Linked DNA regions of Cricetulus griseus. The main gene of each other region encodes a partner of the protein of the gene in region 2 in a complex. Links are inferred from orthologs where the notes say so. Each region holds a gene or a part of one and is shown on either strand. Other genes may lie near its edges.

What was found.
Region 1: the proteins of Sumo1 (region 2) and Pml are in contact, whole or in part, in a crystal structure (PDB 8DJI), measured with the Homo sapiens proteins. The link is inferred for Cricetulus griseus from reciprocal best matches to the Homo sapiens genes SUMO1 and PML. Residues at the interface, in NP_001005781.1 of Homo sapiens: Gly19, Glu20, Tyr21, Ile22, Lys23, Ser32, Glu33, Ile34, His35, Phe36, Lys37, Val38, Lys39, Thr42, Lys46, Leu47, Ser50, Arg54, Glu84; in NP_150241.2 of Homo sapiens: Glu554, Arg555, Val556, Val557, Val558, Ile559, Ser560, Ser570, Ser571, Ser572, Arg573.
Region 3: the proteins of Sumo1 (region 2) and Daxx are in contact, whole or in part, in an NMR structure (PDB 2KQS), measured with the Homo sapiens proteins. The link is inferred for Cricetulus griseus from reciprocal best matches to the Homo sapiens genes SUMO1 and DAXX. Residues at the interface, in NP_001005781.1 of Homo sapiens: Lys17, Glu18, Tyr21, Ser32, Ile34, Phe36, Lys37, Val38, Lys39, Thr41, Thr42, His43, Lys46, Leu47, Ser50, Tyr51, Arg54, Gln55; in NP_001135441.1 of Homo sapiens: Glu731, Glu732, Ile733, Ile734, Val735, Leu736, Asp738, Ser739, Asp740.

Annotation. Positions count from the first base shown.
Region 1 is NC_048597.1:169,852,343-169,856,451, reverse strand, and holds the start of Pml (protein PML), read left to right. Parts: upstream 1-1,309; 5' UTR 1,310-1,434; coding exon 1,435-1,563; intron 1,564-3,317; coding exon 3,318-3,778; intron 3,779-4,109.
Region 2 is NC_048595.1:413,930,895-413,935,046, reverse strand, and holds the start of Sumo1 (small ubiquitin-related modifier 1), read left to right. Parts: upstream 1-1,352; 5' UTR 1,353-1,497; coding exon 1,498-1,509; intron 1,510-4,152. UniProt on the Homo sapiens protein: Ubiquitin-like protein that can be covalently attached to proteins as a monomer or a lysine-linked polymer.
Region 3 is NW_023276806.1:232,098,472-232,102,680, reverse strand, and holds the start of Daxx (death domain-associated protein 6), read left to right. Parts: upstream 1-1,409; 5' UTR 1,410-1,545; intron 1,546-1,679; exon of another isoform or gene 1,680-1,834; intron 1,835-2,804; 5' UTR 2,805-2,820; coding exon 2,821-3,027; exon of another isoform or gene 3,028-3,168; intron 3,169-3,301; coding exon 3,302-4,133; intron 4,134-4,209. UniProt on the Homo sapiens protein: Transcription corepressor known to repress transcriptional potential of several sumoylated transcription factors. Down-regulates basal and activated transcription.

The sequences.
Region 1 (4,109 bases), on a different chromosome or scaffold from region 2:
ACATGATAAAGAAACTGAGGAAAGAAAACACAAATATTTGTACAGATTCTTAACAAAATATGGCAGAAATATCTGCCCACTGCATTTTATTGTTCTTAGCTTGATGGCCTAATTTTAGAGGTCAAGGAATACAGGTTAGCCTGGAAGTATGGGACACTTTCAAGGCCTCTCATAGACTCTAGGATGTTGGGTCTCTCTTCAGCACCCCTTCACCCCAAGTCTAAGTTTACAAAAGCAGGAACCTGTCACCATCCCTTCTGATCTGTTTCATATAGAAACACAGCATAGGATGGATGTACACAGGAGCCAGAAAAGTGGTTGGGAAAAGATGAAGTTGGAAGCCAAAGGCACTGGCCAATAAGACTACCTGCAGGTATGCCTTTTCCCTCACCCGCTGAGTTCTGAATTTCTTTTCACTGGTCAAGAGCTAACTTTCTATCTCCTTGCTCTCTCCACTGCTTCCCCCTGCCTCCCTCACATTCACCAGACTCACTGTCACTCAAGGCACCATCCTGTTCTGTCTTTCACCAATGTCCTTCCACCTGACTCAGGTCCTCCTCTGCAACCCCCAGTCACTTCTCATAAGCCTCCTGTCTCAAGGCCATCAGAGAGACACAGCTGAAGCCATGTACCAAACCTTCACCAATCTCCCGCCTTATGATCAATTTCCTCTTCTCTGGGACAATTCTTCAGGTGCTCCATCTCAAATCTGAAAATGGTCCTGACTACTTCCCAAACAGGCTCTCCTGTTTCAGACCTCCACCCCCTTCCAGGTGCTCATCTCTCTTTAAAGTGTCTCCGCAACGGTGAATCCTATTTTACCGTATGTTCCGTTTGTCAGCTGAGGAATGACTTTCCAGGCAGACATATACAAATACTGGGTCAAAGTCTTCACTTGGGGTGACTTGGGGGTTCTCCCAAAGTGGGGTGTATTTCTTAATAAAGAAATAGCCTGTCAAAGAGGGGTTCTTAACTAGGGAGGCACAAAGCTGTGCGGTGAGCTGAATAGCTCACAGAGAGATCTGCAACAGGGAAATGCCTCTGCCAACTCTGCATCTCTTCCAAAGTGCATATTGTGTGCGTGGCAGGATCTTTTTCTCGTAGAGCAATCAAACTCGCGATGTTTCTGCTTACAGAGCTATGCCATCACGCTGGGCTTGCTCGTTTGTTTGTTTGTTTGGTTAACCTCTCTGGTTCTACCAGAGGTGGCTCCAAAACTCCCCAATCTTTTCTAACTCCCGAAGGGTGACTTCAGAACCAGCCTCTCCGCCCCTAGACCCGCCCCAGTCCTGTCTCACTTCCTCTCGGGGGGCGGGTCCACGGCGGGTATCTCCCCGCTGGACAGCTGAGGCGGCTGAGTTTCGTTGCTCAAGTCTAGGATTCACCTCCCGCCCTCACAGACCCAATCCAGGAATCGAAACTGCACCGGTTTCCATGCAGAAGGCGCCCGCATCCTCTGGATCTCCCTGCCTCCAGCAGGAATCCATCCTGACCTCTACGCCCACCATGCCTTCCCGGGAGGACCCCTCCGAAGACCATGAACACAGCCAGAGCCCCACGGAGGTACTACTGGGTTAAGAGATGAAAGCCTGTTAGGGTTTTATTTGTTTACGTTGGTGGCGAGTTGAAAATGAAGGTTTTTATAGAGAAGGTAACTTAGTGTCCTAGAGAGACACACACCAAGGTCCTGACCCTCCTGTGTGGGCAGGGGTAGGAAGGATAGCATAGAATAAAAAGTTACCAGATTGAGTTAGGGAAGCCATGGGGATAGTTGGGTTGTAATGAGACGGGCCACTCCTACCCCGCAGAGCCTTGTCCTTTAGCTTCTACCTCAGATGAAAAACGTCCAGGGAGAAGGCCAGGCCAGGCCAGGAGTCCCGTTTGCTCTAGCCTGGAGCTAAAGGCATGCCCCAAACTTGACAAAATAATTTACTCCCCTCACCTGCAGCTGTGGTAGCACATGGCAGGAGCAACAGTACTCGAGATACAGGTGCTGGAGGATGGCCAGCCTTTTCTACAACTACAAAGAGTGTTCAAGACTGCCAAAGGCGACACAACAGGACCCGGTTTCAAATCAATATAAAAGAAACAAGTAAAACTTGGCCTCAACCAAAGTGTTGTCATAGCTAAAACCAGGGTGGCCTCTCTTATTTCTCTTACTGATTTTCATAGATTTACTTTATTTTATGTATATGAGGTTTAGGGTTTTTTGTTTCATTTTCTTGAGATAGGGTCTTGGCAGGACTGGAACTCACTGTGTAAACCAGGCTGGCCTCAAACGCGTAGAACCACCTGTCTTTACCTTCTGAGTGCTGGGATTAAAGGTGTGCACCCTTTAATGCCCTTCTCCTGTCACTTCTCTTAAGGAAGCTTAGTTCTTGGTTCTTCTGGAAGTTTTACCTCCACCTGCCATACTTATCTCCAAAGAAACTACTTCTATCCCTTTCGTCTTTATTCTTTTTCCCCCATCCCCTTCACAAAAGCTCAAATAACGTCACATTGCCATAACTTTTTAATTATTAGCATTATATAACTAAGGATTAACAATACTAGTTAATATTTATGGGTATTTCTCATGTGCCAGGCACTATACTGAGCACTTTGTACCCTTTAGACAATAGCTATACTTCCTGTTTCTATGAACTTAACTATTCTTAATATAAATGAAATTGCACAATATTTCTCACTTTATGGGAAACGTGCTTCACTTATAATGCCTTCAAGGTCCATCCACGTTGTTGCATGTAATCAAAATTTCATTCCTTTTAAAAGATGGATGATATTCCATTACATGTGCAGACACATTTTGTTGATGCATTCATGTGCTAATTGACACTTGGGTCGCTGTGACTATTGTGGTTAGTGCTGCTGGGCATGTTAGTATATAAATATCTGCTTGGAATTTTCCTCCAGTTCTTCTGAGTATATATGAAAGATGGAAGTTCTGATCATGTAGTAGATCTATGTCTAACTTTTGGAGGACCATAAGCACTTTAAATGAGGTTGGTACTTTAGTGAGTCCCTTGCCAAGGGACCTGAGTCCCTTGAAGGCAAAGATGTATCCAGTCTTGTATCTCAGGGCCTATTAGTGAGTTTAGCGGTAAGTAGATAGGTTCCCGGTAAATTGTGCAATGAGAGCTGCAAGGCCTGGGTAAATGAGGAACTGGGGTGCTGATACGCCAGAGCATAACCCAGTGACTTCCCTGGAATGGAATGCGAGGTCCTACCCTTTCCAGCTTCCTGAGACCAGTGGGGGAGGGGGAGGAGCAGGACTCCTGTACTTTCTGTAGGCCTCATTTCCCTCTTTGATTTACCAGCAAGCCATGAAGGAGGAATTCCAGTTTCTGCGCTGCCTGGGCTGCCAGGCCCAAGCCAAGTGCCCCAAGCTGCTGCCTTGCCTGCACACGCTGTGCTCTGGATGCCTGGAAGCGCCGGGCTTGCAGTGCCCCATCTGCCAGGTGCCTGGGGCCGGCGCTAATGCAGAAGCCCTAGATAACGTGTTCTTCGAGAGCTTGCAGCGGCGCCTGGCGGTGTTCCGGCAGATCGTGGATGCGCAGGCAGCGTGCACCCGCTGCAAAGAGTCCGCTGACTTTTGGTGTTTCGAGTGTGAGCAACTCATGTGCGGCAAGTGCTTCGATGCACACCAGTGGTACGTCAAGCACGAGGCCCGGCCCCTGGCCGAGCTCCGTGAAAACTCAGTTTGCGAATTCCTCGACAGTACGCGCAAGTCCAACATCTTTTGCTCCAATTCCAACCATCGCAAACCTACGCAGACCAAGTAAGTGGGGCATCTTGGAGCCAAGGGTGGGAGCTTCAGGCAGCTTGTCATTCAACATGGGGTCCGCTGGCTTGTAGTTTCTAATGCCCCTCTGAAAAATATCATGGCGCTGCGGAATCATTCTTGCACCCTTACCTAGTACGTCTTTAGTACAAATTTTTTCAGAGTGCCATTGCAAGTGAGGTGTAAAAACAGTACGTTTTAATACAGGCCACCAAATTTTAGATGTCTTAAGAATGGATATTTCCTCAGGGGCCCCAGGAAATCTCAGTAAGGCTGGGTGTTAAGATAAGGAGCAAATAAATGGTGTCCGAAAAGTCGAAACTATGTC
Region 2 (4,152 bases):
TCTAGTCGCCTCATTACTAACTATAGAAAAGATTCTTTTTTTTTTTTTAAATAAAGACTTCCTAGATTTTTTAAAAGATTTATTTATTTATCATGTATACAGTGCATGCCAGAAGAGGGCACCATATCACAATACAGATGGTTATGAGCCACCATGTGGTTGCTGGGAATTGAACTCAGAACCTCTGGAAGAACAGTCAGTGCTCTTAAACCCTGAGCCATCTCTCCAGCCCCTAAGAAAAGATTCTTTTTTTTTTAATAGATTTTATTTATTATGTATACAACATTCTGCTTCCATGTATATCTGCACACCAGAAGAGGGCACCAGATCTCATAAGGGATGGTGAGCCACCATGTGGTTGCTGGGAATTGAACTCAGGACTTCTGGAAGAGCAGTCAGTGCTCTTAACCTCTGAGCCATCTCTCCAGTCCGAAAAGATTCTTTTACTAACGTCTTATACTGTGAAAGGTTATTGATTTATTTAGAATTTTCATTTTTGCCGGGGGTTGGGGGGCGTGGTGGCACATGCCTCTAACGCAGCAGAGTCTAGAATAGTCTACAGAGTTCCAGGACAGGCTCCAAAGCTACACAGAGAAACTCTGTATCGGAAAAACACACACAACAATTATTTTTTCAATTTTACTCTTTTTACTTATATATCCGTAATCCACACTTAATGCCTGTGCAAGAAGGTCGTGGTAGTCAAAGAATTTTAGGTCTTTCTGTGACGAAAGGCAAATAGTTAATAGGTTGGAGGTAGCTCCTTCTGCCTATAACTTCAAACTTAAAAACTTTCAACATTTTAGTCATCTACAGCTCTTAAAACTGTCCTAGAGCTGGGGGCAGAGGTAGGAGACTCTATGTGAGTTCGAGGCCAGGCTGATCTACATAGTTCTAGAGCGGCCAGGGTTGCTCAAAAAACAAAAATAAAAACAAAAAATATGTGTTCTAAGGGGTCGTCTTTTCGTTGTGGTCCTAAATCAAGGTCATGAGTGTGCTGGCAGCAAACAAGAGAAGGTAATAAAAATATTATACCGGCGATTCCCTATATTTAGGGACGGTTAGTAAGGTTGGGAGCAGACAAAAGAACTTGGTTTAGCTCGGAGAAGCGCGCAAGGTGTCCGAGAGGGAGGAGTCTAGGATGTCGGTTTGACCCCAAACATTCAGCCTGGTGGCGATGCCCTGGTCTCCCTAGGGGGCTGAGGCAGCCGGCCGGGTCTCCCAGCGGCAGAACACACAGTCGTTCTCTTGCTCCGGGCAAGCAATTTTACAGGTCAGACGCCCCAAGGCCTTTCCCCAAGGCGTTTTCCCGCCTCCTTTTCCCGTCTTCCCAAAGTCTCCTTTGCGCGCAGCGGAAGTGACGCAATACGTAGCGGAAGTCCCTGCAGCCGCGGTGTTGTGCTGTGGGGAAGAGACAGATTTGTAAACCTCAGAGTGAGGTTCTGCCTGCCGGAGGCCGCTGTGGTGCGGAGACCCCCGGGCGAAGCCACCATCACCATGTCTGACCAGGTACTGGGCCAGGGCATCGGGGCTCAGAGCTGTCGGCCGCTGGCTGGGCCCGGGGACCGCGGCGCGGGGGAGGGGACGCAGCTGGGGGAGGGGGCTGCTGCTGGGGAGGGGGCCGCGAGGGACGCGGAGCGCCCGGCCGAGTCGGGCCCAGCCGCCCGGGACCGCGGGGCTCCGGGGAACACCCGCCCTCCGCCGCCTTCCCCGCGCCCCCCTCCCGCTGCCCCGCGCCGCGGCTCTCTCGACGGCTCCCAGGTTTCTCGCGGGTCCGCCGGGGGCCCAGGCCCGCTCCTCTGTCCCCGAGAGCAACCTAAGAGAAATCGACCGTTTCCCTTCAGAGGACCGATGGCAGAAACAGGGCCCCAGGCCTAGTTATGTAACGGGAGGGAATCCCTGACTGGGAGGGTAGGTAGCCCCGAAAAGCTGCTCCACTCCACTTTGGGTTCTTGGTCTCGGAGTGGGGGGCGGAGAGGAAGCCTGGCCTGAGGTTCCTGGGACCCAGAAGACGCTGCTTTCCGTTGTGTTTGCCGGGAGGGCCTGTCCGCCTCTGCTCCCTTCTGCGTCTTTTTTTTTTTTTTTTTTTTCCATCTGGGGGGTGCGGATCGGTCGGCTCTTTTTCTGTACTTTCCATTTCTTACTCGGGATTGGTCCATCAACTCTCTAGTTGTAGGAGAGTTCAGAATAACCGAGAAACAAACGAAACTAGGTTAGAGTACCACCACCAACAAGCCATTTATTTCATCTGGGCATTAGCCTGCTTATGATTGTTACATTTTCAAAAATGGCACTTTTTTTTAACATAGTCAATTTTATACACGTAAACGACGTATCTTGGTTATATGCACCTCCATATCACCCTCTTCCAGGTGATATTTTTGAGGAAAATAGAAAAACTGAATATTTACAGCTGCAGAATGTTTACAGAAAGCTGCCAATTAATAGTAAAATGCTGTGTCTCCGTATTAATGTTAAGAATTTGCATGGTATTGGCATTCAAATTAGGAATACTGCCACCTTAATTTCCTTCATCCCATTTTTGTTTACCACGTTTGTGGCTAGTTTTAATACATAGGATTTTTATCTGTTTTTCCTTTTGTTTGCTTAGAGGACTGAATTTTCAAATTTTTTTTGACGTTTGTCTATAATGATAATTATTCAGTAAACTTTTCATTCAGCACCACAGTGTAGTTGAACTGTTTTCTTTTAATTTAATCTTATTTATTTATTTATTTATTTATTTAATTGTTTTTCGATACAGGATTCTCTGTGTAGCCTTGGCTAACCTGGAACTGCTCTGTAGACCAGGCTGGCCTCAAACTCAGAGATTCCCAGCCTTTGCTTCCTGAGTGCTGGGATCAAAGGCATGCTTCCCCACCACCTGGATAATATGGTTCTATTTTTGTAGCCTATCCATAATGTAGATTAATTGTGGGGTAGATTTGTTTATAAATAATCTGGATTAATTCTGTTTAATCTGGATAGAAATTCGTTTATGAATATCTCTCCAGATAGTTCCGAGTAAGGGAGGAAAGATGAGCTGTAAATGCTTAGTTTCATCAGTCTTTTATTTTAGAAGGAACTAGAAGGCATGTCAGCCTGATGAAGGGCAACATACAGTTAGAAATTTTAAAATTATTTTTGCTCTAGTTTGAACTCACATCATTTAAGAATATGGAGAAAGGCTCTAAAGCTACACAGAGAAACCCTGTCTTGAAAAACTATTAAAAAAAAAAAAAGATTATGGAGAAAGGAAAAGAGAACCTAGGACACAGGCTGTTTTCAGGGGATCTGTGAAGCCACACTAGGGTGTAGTACTTGTTACTGGGCACTGAACTTAGGGCTCACATGTGTACATGCCAGACAAGCACTATACCACTGAGCTAGATCCGAATCTCTTATACTTAGTCTCACTATGTTGCCTAGGTTGTTCTTGAACTTCATTCTGTAGCACAAGGTGTCTTTGAACTCGGAATAAATACTCCTCCCTCACTTATCGTTGCAGAGTAGGGAGGATTAGAGTTATGCCATACCTGGCTAGTCCATGTGTGATTTGTTTATTTTTTTTTTTGTCCCGTGTTGTTCCCCCCCCCCCCCCCCAGGGTTTCTCTGTATTGCTTTGGAGGTTGTTCTGGAACTCTGCTCTGTAGACCAGGCTGGCCTCTGCCTCCCAAGTGCTGGGATTTTCTTTTGTTTTTGAGATAGGGTCTTACTATGTAACCTTGGCTGCCCTGGAACTCATTCTGTAGTTCAGGCTGGCCTGGAACTCACAGAGGTCTGCTTGCTTCTGTCCTCTGAGTGCTGGAGTGAAAGATGTGCATCACAATACCTGACAAACTTTTGTTTTGTTTTGTTTTGTTTTCAAGACAAGATTTCTTTGTAGCTTTGGAGCCTGTCCTGGAATTCACTTTGCCTGCTTCTGCCTCCCAAGTGCCACCACCACCTGGCCCAAAACAAGTCTTTTTAATTGAGCTACACAGTAAAGCAATATGCAAGAGTGTGAAATAGTGCTACTTTTAGAAATTTTGACTTGAAGAAAAAGTATGCTAACATTTTAGGGGTTATTTATTTTGTTTTCTAAGACAGAGTTTCTATGTGTAGCCCTGATTGTCCTGGAACTTGCTCTGCAGACCAGGCTGGCCTCAAACT
Region 3 (4,209 bases), on a different chromosome or scaffold from region 2:
ACCTTAAAACCTTCTTCCTATTGCTCTCAGCATGAGGCTCACAACGCCTGTCCCAGGGGTCAGTTGCACTCTTCTGGCCTTCGTGGCCATCAGACACACAGGGTGTAGATGCATACATGCTGGCAAAACACCCGCACACGTAAGACAAAGTTCTTCTGAGTAATTGGAATTATTGCAAGAACAGAAGTGACCAGACAGCGTAAAGCTCATGTTTATGTGTATTCATTATATAATGTATTCTGGTCATTGTCACCTCTATTGTCACTCCCCCACCCCCCTCTGGCTCCCATGGAAGCCCCCACCCCCACTCAGCACTTTTCTCCATCTTCCAGCTCTTACATTTATTCTTTCAACCTCCTAGTCTTCCAAGTTCTCTCAGAGCCTAGGACTTGCTGTCAGCTCGTGTAACTGCTGTTTAAAAGTCTATCTATTTGACTTTGTATGGGTGTTTTGCCTGCATACATGCATGGTCATTATGAGCTCGCCCTACTGGATGCCCGGGGACTGGGGCTACAGATGACTGCTTCACTATGTAAAGGCAGGGTCCCCCTTCTCACTTTCCCAGGCACTCACATTGTGCACAGAGACTTACAGGGACACACACACACACACACACACACACACACACACACGAGAAAATAAATAATTGTGGAAAAATAGGGAATCTTTGGGGCTGGAGAGATGGCTCAGAGGTTAAGAGCACTGGCTGGTCTTCCAGAGGACCTGAGTTCAATTCCCAGCACCCACATGGTGGCTCACAACCACTTGTAATAGGATCTGATGCCCTCTTCTGGCCTGCAGGCATACATGTGGACAGTGCACTCGTACCTAAAAAAAATCATTAAAAAAAAAAAAAAAGAAGATAGGGAATCTTCATTTCAGGCATCCACTCAGGAAAACCCATTCTGAGAAACCCACGGATAAGGAAATTATATTCATCATCTTCAGATGATAATCAATGATTAACCATTGAAGAACTTCCTTTCCCCATTTAAATGCCGTAAGCTAGTTGGGGCACCGGACAGGAGGCGGGGTGCGGCAGGGTGCTCACCGACCCGGCTTCCCCACGGGCACCCCTGCGGGCCTCACCTGCCGGCCCCTTTTCTCCGCAGCTCTCCGGGAGGAGGAGCCTCCCTTCGCGTCCCGGCGCTGCCAGCGGCGGCCTGCGAACAGTTCCTCACTTGTGCAGCTGGCTGAGCTCGTTGGTGTGCACGCGTGTGAGCGCCCGGGGCGGGTAGGGCGAGCGCGGGCGAGCGTGGGCCGCCAGGAGTGCTCGCGGCCGAGACTCGCGAGGAGGGAGCGTCAGGCTGCCCCGCAACCCGGGGCAGGGACACCCGCTTTCACTTTGTCGTTCCCTGGAGCCCGCTCCGTAGGTGCCCCGCGGGGGCGGGGCCGGGGCCGGGGGCGGGGCCGGGTCCCTTCCCCTCGCAGGAGCCGGGGCTCGCCCAGACGGCGTCGGGGAGGCCCGAGGCACGGAGTTCCTGACTGGCCGAGTGGCTTCGGGCCGCTCCGGGTGCGAAGAGCCCCACGCCTTCCCCGAGGAAGGTCCGTACCGCAACATGGCGCGCCCCACCTCCCCGGGCTCCGCCCCGCCTCCCCGGGCCCCGCCCCCTCGGGCGCCGCGAGCCGCGTCCTGGGTGGGTTGGTCACGCGGCACTTCCGGCTCGTGGGGCGGACCGCGTTCCGTACAGCAACATGGCCGCCCCCAGGTGTGGTGGGCGGAAGCTCCGCGGCTTCCGGTCCGTCGTGGGGCCTGCGGGGAAGGGAAGGCGGAGGGAACCATGCGAGGTTCTTTGATCCGCGGTGAGGACGGCCTCGAGAGACCGTTTCAGAGGTGGGGGCCGGGCCCTCGTGCGCGTTTCGGGGTGGCGGTGGCAGTGGCGGTGGCGGAGGCGGAGGCGGTGGCGGTGGCGGTGGGGCCGGCGTGGCGAGAGCGAGGGGCCGGCGGGGCCTGGGGGCCGCGGGCTGCCTTGCTGGCAGTCGAGGGGAGTGAGGCGGCCTGGTCAACGGGGGGAGGGGCTCCTTGGCGGGAAGCTGAGCCGGGACCGGCGCGGATGGGGCGGGAGCCCGGGTGCCAGGCGTGCTCGGCGGGGGGCTCGCTGTCGGTTACGGCCGCGGAGAATTGCGGGGCGAGCCGGGGTGCGGTGAGAGGGCGGGGACTCGGGGTGAAGGTCTCCAGCCCTCAGGTCCCGGGTTGAGGAAACCCGGTGGGAGGTGGAACGCGGAGGGGACTGGAGGAGGGGACGGGCTTCAGCTGGAGTCAATGAGTTGGACTTAGGGTGGTGGCTCAAGCCTTCTAATCCTAGCGCTCGGGCGGCAGAGCTCTTGAGTTCGAGGCCAGCCTGGTCTACAGAGCGAGTGCCAGCATAGCCAGGGCTGTTACACAGGGAAACCCTGCCTTGAAAAACAGAAAAAGGGAAAAGCTCGAAGCGCTTCCATTGTGGTGTTTGAGGGAGACGGTGGAACCGACAGGGTGTTGGGTTTTGTAGACAGGGTCAGGGGAACTCAAGAGGCCAGTGTGGACGTTGTCCTGGGATAAGAAGAAACTTCCCAGCTGACACAGAGGGGAAAACAAAACTGACAGACCGGAAATTGACGGAGGGGTGGAGTTCAGGGTGGGGATTTAAGATGATCCGGAGGTTTGCTCCCCAGAACTGCTTGAAACTGGTAGTTGTTGAAGACGGGCTTTGAAGAGGGTTAGGGCAGGACTGAGGGTCCCTGCTGGGGTGGGGCTCTGCAGGAGGGGCTCTTCCTGTGGTCCCCTTGTTCTAGAATTCTGACTTTTCCAACACTTCCTCCCTTAGGGGGATTTGATCCCCCATGGCCTCCGCTGACAGCATCATTGTGCTGGATGACGACGATGAAGATGAAGCAGCTGCTCAAGCGGGGCCCTCACAGCTCCCCTCCAGTCCTGTCTCACCAGGGCCAGAAGCCTCTGGTCCCTCTGAGTCCCATGGGAATGGAAGAAGCCGTAACTCAGGTGGCAGGAAGTGCTACAAGTTGGAGAACGAGAGGCTGTTTGAAGAGGTAAGCTTCAGAGAAGGCGCCTTTTGTTTTTGAGACAGGGTCTCACTGTGTCACCCTGCCTGCCTGGAACTGTCTAGATGAGGCTGGCCTTGAACCCACAGAGTTCCACTTGCCTCTGCCTCCTGAGAGCTGGGATAAAAGGTGTGAACCACTATGACCTGACAGGGAAGATGGAAGGAAAGGGGGATTGGCTCTCTTGTTCTGATTTTCCCACTAATTCCATTTTTTTTTTTAAATGCCTTCCTGTCTCCCACCCTTTCCACGAACTCTTCAGTTCCTCGAACTGTGTAAGGTACAGACATCCGACCACCCTGAGGTGGTTCCATTCCTCCACAAACAGCAGCAGCGTGCCCAGTCTCTGTTTCTGGCCTCTGCAGAGTTTTGCAACATCATGTCCCGGGTTCTGTCTCGGGCTCGGAACCGGCCAGCTAAGCTGTATGTCTACATTAATGAGCTCTGCACTGTTCTTAAAGCCCATTCAAATAAGAAGAAGCTGAACTTGGCTCCTGCACCCTCCACACCCAGTAAGCCCTCTGGTGATAACCCTCCCACAGAGTCCTCCTCTGAACTTACAAATGCTGAGAACACTGCCTCCAAGGCCTCAAGGACCCGTGGTTCGAGGAGGCAGATCCAGCGCTTGGAGCAGCTGCTGGCGCTGTATGTGGCAGAGATACGGCGGCTGCAGGAGAAGGAGTTGGATCTCTCGGAGCTGGACGACCCTGACTCCACGTATCTGCAGGAGGCCCGTCTGAAGCGGAAACTGATCCACCTCTTTGGGCGGCTGTGTGAGTTGAAGGACTGCTCCTCCCTGACTGGCCGGGTCATAGAGCAAAGAATCCCCTACCGTGGCACGCGCTACCCAGAGGTCAACAGGCGCATTGAGCGGCTCATCAACAAGCCAGGGCCTGATGCCTTTCCTGACTATGGTGACGTGCTGAGGGCTGTGGAGAGGGCGGCCACCCGGCACAATCTCGGCCTTCCCCGACAGCAGCTCCAGCTCATGGCTCAGGATGCCTTCCGGGATGTGGGCGTCAGGTTACAGGAGCGCCGACACCTCGACCTCATCTACAACTTTGGCTGCCACCTCACAGATGACTATAAGCCAGGTAGGAAGCTGTTGGGATGCCTCCTAGGGGTCCTTTAGGTTACGTGGGCTACGCCCCTGACCCTGCTTTCTCTTTT